2 linked regions of the Drosophila melanogaster genome follow. The gene in region 1 interacts genetically with each later gene. Each region holds a gene or a part of one and is shown in the gene's direction. Other genes may lie near its edges. The genes, in order: Atg4b and sno.

Region 1 (5,831 bases):
AAGACAAACAGGATTGGATGCCAAGGCTCAAACAAAAACAAAACTAAGCTTGCTACATTACAGCTTGAGTTCCTCGGTGTCCGGTAGCTTGCGGAAAAACCACTGCACATGTTCCTCAGTGACATCGGCCAGCTTGGTTGGCTGCCACTGGGGCTTCTGATCCTTGTCGATGAGTAGGGCGCGCACTCCCTCCTTGAAATCACTTCGCTCCAGATGACGCACGGCCAGACGATATTCCATAATAAGACACTGAGCCAGCGACAGCTGTGATCCGAGCTCCAACTGACGGAACGTAACCTTCATCGAGGTGGGAGACATCTTCGAGAGCGTCTAAAACAAAGAAAAAAGCAATGTGTCTGATTTCAATAATAAAATTCAACTCTAATAGAAAAATGCAACAAGGTGTGGGGTGTGAGTTTGTGAGCTAGTGTAACTTATTCAGTTAAGAAAAGTCGTGCAGCAACTAAAGCGTTGCTAATTGGCTGGAAACGGATCAAATATTTAGGCGCTAAAAGCGCGCGTCAAGCGATGATTGGCCCAGCCAATTAACATCCGATTGTGTTCTTATCACTTAGTAAACTGTGCCCCACTCACCTCAAGCGTCTTCTTGGCCCATTCACTGCCATCGTTCTGCAGATTCTCTAGAATCCCCTCCACCGAGTCCGCTGAAAAGTTCTTGTTGATCTGCTCCAGGACAGGCTGCAGCGAGAAGGGCTTTTCTGGCGGGGAATGGTACTTCTGCAGCAGCTCAGGCACATCATCCGCATCCGGGCAGTTAAGGAGAGCCGTCTCCAGATCAGGGATCTTGCTGCTCTCGCAGTAGTGCGTAGCAATGCCTGAGTAATAGACATCGGCTCCGCGCAGTCGATATCCTGTGAGACCCAGATAGAGGCCCAGCTTTCCCTGCAGTCGAGGCAGGAAGTATGATCCACCCACATCCGGGAAGAGGCCAATCGCCGTCTCGGGCATGGCGAACAGTGTCCGATCGCTGGCCACCCGGTACTTGCCATGCACACTCAGACCCACGCCACCGCCCATGGTAATACCGTCAATGATGGCGATGTAGGGAATCTTATAGTTTCCGATCAGGGCATTCGTGCTGTACTCCTCCCGGAAGAAGCTCTTCGACTCATCCGTAGGGCCAGCCTCGACCAGAGCGCGCACATCTCCACCGGCGCAGAAGGCCTTGTCACCTGTGCCCTTGATGATCACCAGCGACTTGGACTTCTCGCACTTCTTCAGGTGCTTGTAGATCTTGCGTACCATCTCCAAGTTGATGGCGTTAAGCGCCTTGGGCCGGTTCAGAATAATCATTCCCTTGTTAGAGGACTCCGTGGCCAGCACGGAGGAGGAGGATTGGCGAACGGAGAGAGCCATTGTTGTTGGTTTTGTTTGGGATATCGTTGCTCCGCCGATCATCGGCAATTGGCTACAGGTGCGATGACCAAATGTGTACACCAACCTTTGAATTGGGCCCTGCTGGACGGCGACATCGAATTGTTTTCGATTAGCTAAGCGCTTCTATTTGCAGGAATTTGCATTACTTACCATTTTGAGCGGCTGTCGTCAGTAATGTTGTGTGTGGGGCGAAGCGAGTGTTTAGAAATTCAGCGTTGCGCAATAGAATTTTAGCACCCGCACAGCTGGTCATTCTTGTCGCGGAGCTGCCAGACCGCACACATGCCGGAAGTAAATAAGGGTGTTCCAGAAATCGTTTTCCGCGTAAAATATTACTATTAAATGGACATGCCAAGGGCAGACCTATACCAGGCGCCTTTTAATTTATTAATTCAAATATTATATGTATAAGAATTTTAGATAAAGATACAAATTGTTTAAAAATAGTTTAACACAAACCTGTTGATAACAAAATTCACTATTCATTTTGAACTCATTAGTAGATAAACGTAAAAAAGAACACACATTACCTACATATTCATAATAGAGCAGATTTGCAGTCTGGCAACACTGAAATTGGCAATTGTACTTCTCGCGAATAAGAAAAACAAATTTCGTGGAGTTACTTTATCTTATTTTGTCAACAAATAAACGGTGAGTAAACATTTGTAATTAGCACGCAATCGGTGGTCGGTTGTCAGTTAAGCCAGGGCCAGCAAGGGGCTCGCACCAAGATTACAATGCCGCAGTTCTTTAAGTTCCGCAAGCTGCGGACAAAGCGTCATAGCTCTTCTACCACTTCCGCCTCTGTTTTCATGTCCTCGTCCACGGCCACCAACCAGATGAACTATGACGGCCTCCTTTCCAAGTTGACCGACGAAAAACTGATGCTCTTCGAAGCCGCCGGCGAGGGGACCATTGTAGAGGGTAGCCGGATATGCGGCCAGGATGCGGATCCGCTCTCCTTGCCGCTGGTGGAGGACGGCGCCATCGAGGAGGAGCAGGCGGCCCCCATACAGACGATTCATCGCACTGTATTCGCCGTTCCACGCGTCCCTTCCCCCTCCCCCGTAAGCACATCAGGTGCCAATCTGAACCTCAAGACGGAAAACGCTGCGACAGCGACTCCGCAGCGCAAAATATCGACGTCATCACGTTTCATGAACGCCTTCAGTCAGCTCTACGGCGGCGGCAACAGCGGTCCGAGCTGCGGTCACGTGGAGCAGCACAACGAGGAACCCGGTGACCTGTCGGCAAACCGTACTCCCACCAAGGGCATGGAGTCCAAGCTCGTCGCAATGTGGCACAATGTGAAGTATGGCTGGAGCGGCAAGATGAGGCAGACCAGCTTCTCAAAGGAGCAGCCCGTGTGGCTGCTAGGACGGTGCTATCATCGACGCTTTACTCCGCCCGTAAGCATGGAAAGTTCCATCACCGAGCTGCCCAGCGGGGCGGATACCACCCCCGATAACGCCACATCGGCGTTCGACAGCATTCAGGCCACATCGACATCAACCTCCTTGTATCCAGCCCTTAATCCGCAGCAGATCGATGAGATTGTGGTGCCCCAGGAACTGGGAATGGACGCGGTGGAGAACCAAGTGGGCGAACAGCCTTGGGAGGAGGGCATCGAAGGCTTTCGTCGTGACTTTTACAGTAGGATTTGGATGACCTACCGTCGAGAGTTCCCAATAATGAATGGCTCCAACTACACCTCGGACTGCGGTTGGGGCTGTATGCTAAGGAGTGGTCAGATGCTCTTCGCTCAAGGACTCATCTGTCACTTCCTAGGGCGAAGTAAGTTAAATGAACCCGCACAAATATGTTTGATTACCAATAAACCTTTATGCTTCAGGCTGGCGCTATGATTCAGAGTCCCAGTTGCACTCGACTTACGAGGACAATATGCATAAGAAGATCGTCAAGTGGTTCGGGGACAGTTCCTCAAAAAGCAGTCCCTTCTCCATCCACGCCCTGGTGCGGCTGGGGGAGCATTTGGGTAAAAAACCTGGCGATTGGTACGGTCCCGCCTCTGTTTCCTATTTGCTTAAGTGAGTACAGATCTTTATCGCTTTTTTAATCTTTATTAAATCAAACAACTCTTCAACTTCACCACAGACACGCCTTAGAGCACGCGGCTCAGGAAAATGCAGACTTTGACAATATTAGTGTCTATGTAGCCAAAGATTGCACGAGTAAGTTCAAGCAGAAAGGAATCCCTTAATCAAAGATTCATAAGATAACTACCATGACACATTGATATGTTCATGAGTAATTGCTGCAACCTTGTTCGCGAAGCTCATTACTCAGGGGCTCAATTGATAACGTATGTGATTTGATAACCGTCTTTGTGTTGTTTTAGTTTACTTGCAAGATATTGAGGATCAATGCAGCATTCCGGAACCGGCGCCAAAACCCCATGTGCCTTGGCAACAAGCGAAGCGGCCGCAGGCGGAAACTACCAAAACGGAGCAACAACAGCACTGGAAGTCCCTCATCGTTCTGATACCTTTGCGCCTGGGCAGTGATAAACTGAATCCTGTGTATGCCCATTGTCTGAAGCTGCTGCTGAGTACAGAACACTGCCTGGGCATCCTTGGTGGAAAGCCAAAGCATTCGCTGTACTTTGTCGGCTTCCAGGAGGACAGGCTCATCCACTTGGATCCGCACTATTGCCAGGAGATGGTGGATGTGAACCAAGAGAACTTCTCCCTGCACTCGTTTCACTGCAAGTCGCCGCGGAAGCTTAAGGCCAGCAAAATGGATCCTAGTTGTTGTATCGGCTTTTACTGTGCCACCAAAAGTGATTTCGACAATTTTATGGAGAGCGTACAGTTGGTAAGCAAAAGCCAAACATTTCGTTTTCCAACGTCCTATTAAATATCTTAATTTCAACAGTATTTGCATCCTATGCGTTGCGCCTCAGGGGCAACTGTGGATAAGGCGGCCGGGAGCCATCATACGACGCCTCAGTCATCCCATCAAACCGAGCAAACAGAGATGAACTATCCATTGTTCTCATTTTCCCGCGGTCGTTGCATGGATCACGAGCGGGACGAAATGAGCGATTCGCTGTACAAGCCGCTCATAAAACAGGTGGCTTCTCTGGCCCAGGAATTGGGCGCTCAACTGGCGCCGCCACAGCACGGCGATGAGCACGACCAAGATGATAGTGAAAGCGAAGAGTTTGTGCTGCTGTAGATCGTTGCCGCCACCACCACATAACCCTGTTGCTGTGCTAGCTGTGTTATTTGCTCATTATTATTTGATTTAGTTGCCAGCCGCTGCTGCTTGCTTGCTCGCCCAGAAAAACCCAACAGACCCGTATCTCAAACACAAAGACTTTGTTGTACCTTTACGCCTACGCATATAGTACATAGACGCATGCATGTATCTTGAATATTTACTGATGTCCACGTTAATCTCTCTTTTGTTCGACCTGTCGTCTCGCATTCTGCCAAAGTTTTTCAGCTATTTCCATGTTCGAGCAGCCCGATCTGTTTATATGTGTTATATATAAACCTATGTAATTTGCGGTATTATTATTTTAAAATCATGAATCTTTAATGGAATTGAATTATTTTACAATGGTGCCACAATTGTCACTATTCTTTGAAGTATTTCATGTAGCGCTTAGTTCTAGAGTTTAGTTAAATTATGTAAGTCGTCTTGTAATTGTTCGATCATTATTTAGTTTTAACATTAATTGTATATACCCTCGAGTAAATGAATAAACTATCCTAACTTATACTAAATACAATTAGGGTGTCATGAGATTTTAGCTGATGGGATATGAATGTATGATATAGATACAATATTGCACGGAATTAAAATTAAATTAGACTAACTAGTTTTAATGTCTTTTATGAATAAGTAATTTAACCCACAACCTCGTCTTTCGTTTGGGATTATTACAGCTTGCGAAGTGTACATACCTCTTATTATTTGCAAACAACCAAGATTTTGGTTGGATCCATATTTGGATGGTGGGACTTGAAACGCTTATCTCTGCATGACTTGCGCCTCCCTTTCCAGGCGTTTTAAGAGCTTGCTGAGATTCTCCCGGGCTGTCGTTGCTCTAGCCGCACTAATACTTATTGCAGTCCGATAAGCCTCTATAGCCTCCTGCGTCTTGTCCCAGCGATGATAGAGAACTCCGAGATTCGTGTGGTACAATGTGTTGTGGGGCTCCAGCTCAATAACGCGCTTGTAGATCGCCTCCGCCTCCGTATAATGTTTTAATTTGCCAAGCACGTTTGCTCGAATGAAAAGGATACTGACATCGTTGGGTAGATGTTGGAGAGCCTGATTAGAGATGCGCAAGGCGTCATCCTGCAACCCCTTGTTGTCCAGCATTGTCAGAATGTTAGCCCAGGCTTTTGGCTGGCGGGGATTTAGTGCCACAGCATGCTGCCAATGATGAAGCGCTTCGG
Region 2 (5,193 bases), on another chromosome or scaffold:
GATTAATAGTTGATGGTAGTTAGGCTACAGCTATTGTTCAATCACTGCTCTTCAATTAAAGAATTTTGATGTTTGTAAACCGAATTGGAAAATCTTAGCTTTTTGAGTAGCGACAAGAATTGCTGACCGTCCGCTCTACGGGCTGATTATTGATTGAAAAGTAAGATGATGGAAAGGAAAAAAAAAAGTTGAGGCTCGGGCTTCGGAAATACCTAGCCTAATACAGGCTTTCGGTATTTGAGGAGCGCGGCTTCTTTAGCTTCTCGAGGTTCTTAATAACAATGTCGTGCAGCGAGGAGTAGCGATTGCGGACCTCACAAACGACCAGCCACAAGCTGAGGTACTCCTTCTCGTCAAGTTCGACGACTGCGCGCCGATAATCATCGATGTGCGGATACTTGGCCACCTTGGACACCACCTTGGCGCGCGACAAGAAATAGCGCGATATCTGGTCAAAGAAGGCGGCCGCCTCGGATTCCACAGTTTGAATTTCGGCAAGCGTGTCCTCTTGAATGGAGACGCCAAAGTTGTTGCCATCCTCGATCTTGGGTATCATAAAGGAGATCCACATCTTAAGTAGATTGGCTGCAAAAGAAATCAATTCAGAAATTACTAGGTATTCATTAAAAAGCTTAATGTCAGGCAAAACTTTAGCTACTGGCATTTGTACCGTTCGAATGTAAAAATTCTTGGAATTCATTGTTTTAGGAAAATTGAAGGGGCTCTTGAATAGCATAAAAACATTTATTAGGTTGAGACGCTTGAATATACGGTGTACTTACAATCCTCCACAAGCTTCCTGATGATAGGCTTGACGACCTTGATCATCTCGCAGAGCGGCTTGTTGCACGGCACTGTACCGGCGGGCAGACCCATGACAGGCTGCCCAGAGACGATGACATCCACGCGCTGGCGCTTGGTGGGCAGACTGTCACGATCCTCCAACTCGTTTTTAACCAGGAGAGGCGGCAGGACCGGGATGTTGAGGTCCTGGTGCACTTCTTCGAAGTTGCGCTCGTTGAAGATCGGCGTGGCCAGCAGCTCGTTCAGCCGGACGATATTCTCCGGGAACCCCTTGGTGATTAGCAGCTCTGCCTTGAGGATCAACGAGTCCTTGTACTCCTGCACCTTTACCACAGTGTCGTTAGGCATTTCGTTAGCTATGTGGATTCCTTTTCGTGTCCGTGGAAGCCTTTGATCCTGAGTCCTGTCTCCTGGCGTAGTACCGGTTCTTCTCGTTCCTTATCTTCTCAATAACAATCAGCAACGCGGACCGTCTGAAATCGGCGGACTTTTAGGGACTTGTGTCGGCGGATTGCGAAATTGAAAGCGGGAAAACCAGACTTACCGACAAATTTTGATGCCCAAGCAACAACACGCATGTGGTGCTAGAGGTGGAAGAAAAAGAATAATCGATGCTTATCGATAGCGTCGAAGTTTGCAGAAATTTTGCAAATTAATACCCCACAAGTATCTTAAATATCTTGAATGTCAATATATATTTTTTCTATACTTTTTTTAGATTGAAAGTCTTCTAATTACTTTCAGTTTCATAAACAAATTAGCTGAACATTAAAGTTGGCAAAACATATTTAAATGCATTAATGTACATTGCAGTTGGCATCATTTATTTAAATGCAACAGCTGAAGCTCGCTTCTCATTTACCATGTTAAACTTGCATATACTTTGTTGTAACGTGATTAGAATTTAACGGATATATATCATGAAATATAAAGAAATAAGACGCGCGCCATTTATCGATAGTCTTGTGTGCACCGCGTGCCAGACCGATAGATTTGTTTAAATACCAAGTAAGTTTATTATGTCTCCCTTTGTGCAATTTAAAATGTTTTCATTTAAATATCTATATTTTTAAAATATTTTCCATATATATATATTATAAGTAATATTAAGCTATTAATATTTTTAGAGCAAACACGCTATAAATAAGTGTGCCCAAATATAAGTTTTAGTATACATCGGCATTCTTATCAATAATCGTCAAACTGACGTTTTCTCGCTTCACCATTATCGATTCTCATCGATGTTTTTCCAGCTCTATCTAGTTGGCATCTCGTTAGTTGCGATAGTTGGCATGTTACGTGTGTTTTCGGCTTCGTCGCTTCATTCTCGTCTCGTTCTCGTTTCCTTCCTCCTTTATTCCGATTCCTCGTTTTGCGTGTATTGCGCGGTACAACGCATACGAACAAATTTATCCGAAGCGAAATACCGCGTGCAGCAACAAAAGAAAAACACACTCAACAACAACAACACACACGCATGCACACACGCATGCAGTCATTATCGCAACACCAATAACAACAGGAAGAACAACAACAACAAAAACATTTCTAACGCGCTGAAAATTGCGGAGTCCAGCCTTTTATATTTGCTGCATTTGCTATCTAACTTGCCGCACAATTGTTCTGTTCCGTTGACAGCATCAAAAACGCATTGTTAAAAAGAAATTAATATATAAATTTTAAACAAAACACAAAAAAAAACCAAGAAAAGAACGAAAAACGCGTGGGTGCGCGGTCTGTTGATTTTTTTTTTGTGGTTAACAACAACAACAAGAACCATCGGAGGGACGAACATCAAGAACAACCACCGTTAGCAGTAAGCAGGAGAATCAAAATGGTAAGTTTAAGTTAGCTGGCTTTTTTGTTGTTGCCGTCAATAGCATGACTTAATATAAATTTCTTTGTTGCTAAATTTTGACACACTCACATTTACCCACACACACATGCATAAAACAAAAACAAAGCGGCTGCAGAAGCTGATGAAGGAGAATAATAATGAGAAGAAGGAGCAGTAGCCAACTCATTCAATAATTGTTGTTTCTCCTTTTCTTGCGCCTTTCGCTCTTTCCTCGTCCACCCATTTTGTTGTTGTTGCTGTTTTTTTTATCTGCAATTGTTTTCTTCTGTAATTTCTAAGGATGCATTTTATATCGCAGATTCGCGTGGCCTGGAACCATGTGTTTTTCTCTCCCTCTCATACTCCCTCTTAGCGCTCGCCCCTCTCTTTCGTGCACACACGCTGAGTTTAGTTTTGGCGTTTTTTCCCCCGCACACGAGTTAAACGAATTCAGTCGACAAAAGTTGCGCTAGGTTAGGGTTAAGGCCATGCGACTCAGGGGCAACATGTGGGTTAAGACCATGGGCGGGGTATGGGGCTATGGGTCTATGGTGCATCATTGAATTGAGGATGACAACTATTTTTCAGGGGGCGGCATCGTTTTGAATGTTATCAAAACTATGACCATACAATTTCTATTTCTACAAATGTAATTTAAATTATATAGTCCGTAATAGTGTTGCTAATCTATTCAAAGAATCATTTTTTATAAAATATGTTAATAATATTTATTTGTATCATCAATTACTGGAAATTTGATATACTTATGCCAGCTTTTGACTACTCAAGTGTTTTACAAGTACCGCAGCTTTACAGTGATTGATTTGTGAAATGCTTATGCTTTTGTTTACGTGCAAAGAAAATAACTTTAATTCCTCTCAAAATGCACATATTTGTTATCTAAATTATCCTTATCCCTATGATATAATAATACGATTCACAATTTGTTTTCTTGATAAAGAAATAGATTTGATTATCGTTTATTTACCCGGATTTATTCGTTATTATTCCAAGTTTTTTTTTCCTCACACTTGTTGCTCGGCATGAGCGACGGAACCCCTGGCAGAGACTCAAACCACTCACGCAAAAGTTCGATAGAATCCCCGCTAAGGGGTTTCCACTGTAGAACTGCAGTTGGTGCAGCTGCAGCTCAGAAATGCATCCTGAGAAATGCGAGTTGCCCCTCCCACACAAGCTGCGCTGCTTTTCCTCTGCTGCAGCCAGAGCATTTCTGATTGGGGAGGGTGGGTAAGTGGTCCTACGAGCCGTGTTATGTATCGCCGTGTCCGCTTTGGCCAATGCATTCCGAGTTTTTTGGCGCCTGCGCTTTCACATTTCCCTCGGCCCGGTCAACATCTCTTTGCCAACTCCTGGGAGCGGGAGCCTTTATTAGCTAAATCTCTCCCCATTTTTGTAACATTTTTCAGGTCTATTTTCCTTGGCCTTTGTTTGTGTCCTTTTTTGTCCGTTTTTATCTGCACCTTTTGTTTTTATTTTTTCATTCGCCTACCCTGCTGATAAGGGTTAATGTTGTGGCTGTTTATTTTTCGTAATTCATACCAACTTTTTTTTTTTTTTTTTTTTTGGCAACAACATGTTGATGTTTCTATTTGTGCGAGAGGGTGGTTGATGGAAACACATGTTTTTGGCCACAGATTTTCAACATTTCCCTTGTTGCAAGGTCATTCGTTTTGATTTTATTTTGTGTGTCAACAAAAATGTTGCAATCCATTAACAGGCGGAGGTGTGGATGAAATATTGCGGAGTTAGAATTGATTTGGGAGTGAGAACTATGTTTTCGTTGAGGAATGCATTTCAGATGCTAATAGCGAATTCTTATTTTTATCTTTTGAGCCTAATTAAATGACTTCAATGTAAATGATTAATTAATTAAGTATCTAGTATCTATCTATCCTAGCCAAATACAATATAATAATATTCATTTTAAAGAGGTGATTACTTGAGTTAAGCTGGTTTTTGAAATCTGATTGGAAAAATGTTGAGAATATATCGCACTGTCGTAGATCAGTTTTTATAGTGATCGATCATTCCAGCGGACGTTCACTGTCCTCACTGCATTTGTTTGTCTCGGCTGCTTCTGTTTGCTTTGCTTTTGGCCCAAGTCCCTTGCCAGTTGTTTTATCCCGGAGCACACAGAGGTACACGGTATATATGTTTGAACGCATATAGCCAGCGAACGAGCCAACCAGACCCGTCGCCACCCTCCGGCGCCCACCAGCACCCTACCCCTTCCCCAAGGACGTGCCCACATCCACAGCCACAGCAGTCTGTCTTGCTCTAATTGCTGTACATGCGCTGCAGATTGCTGCTCCTCCTGGCACCCCCCCCCCCCTCATCCTCCACAACTTTCGACCTGCTCCAGTCCCCCTGACCAACCCCTTTGGCCGCATTCAGCTGCCAACTGAGCCAAAACCCTTTGGTTTAAAGGGGTTGGGGTTGAGAGGGTGGCTAGAAGGGTTGAGGGGGTGGTGTGGTGGGTGGGCCGTGGGATGCGGGATGTGGGGTTTCTGGGAGCAGAGAAAGCACATGCA

Evidence for each region.
Region 2: of Atg4b (region 1) and sno, changing one enhances a phenotype caused by changing the other (phenotypic enhancement), as found in Drosophila melanogaster (one study listed by BioGRID).

The regions. Positions count from the first base shown.
Region 1 is NT_033777.3:15,353,038-15,358,868, reverse strand, and holds Atg4b (Autophagy-related 4b), read left to right. Parts: upstream 1-1,944; 5' UTR 1,945-2,052; intron 2,053-2,240; coding exon 2,241-3,195; intron 3,196-3,253; coding exon 3,254-3,449; intron 3,450-3,516; coding exon 3,517-3,593; intron 3,594-3,760; coding exon 3,761-4,236; intron 4,237-4,296; coding exon 4,297-4,599; 3' UTR 4,600-5,149; downstream 5,150-5,831. Other genes in the region: Hibch (3-hydroxyisobutyryl-CoA hydrolase), read right to left, coding at 58-330, 595-1,479, 1,549-1,551; Tmtc4 (transmembrane O-mannosyltransferase targeting cadherins 4), read right to left, coding at 5,401-5,831.
Region 2 is NC_004354.4:13,208,548-13,213,740, reverse strand, and holds the start of sno (strawberry notch), read left to right. Parts: upstream 1-2,066; 5' UTR 2,067-2,638; coding exon 2,639-2,641; intron 2,642-5,193. Other genes in the region: REG (proteasome regulator gamma), read right to left, coding at 218-585, 783-1,152. UniProt on the Drosophila melanogaster protein: Notch pathway component, may contribute to the specificity between lateral and inductive Notch signaling pathways in the wing disk. Required during many developmental stages including oogenesis, embryogenesis and imaginal development of the eye, wing and leg.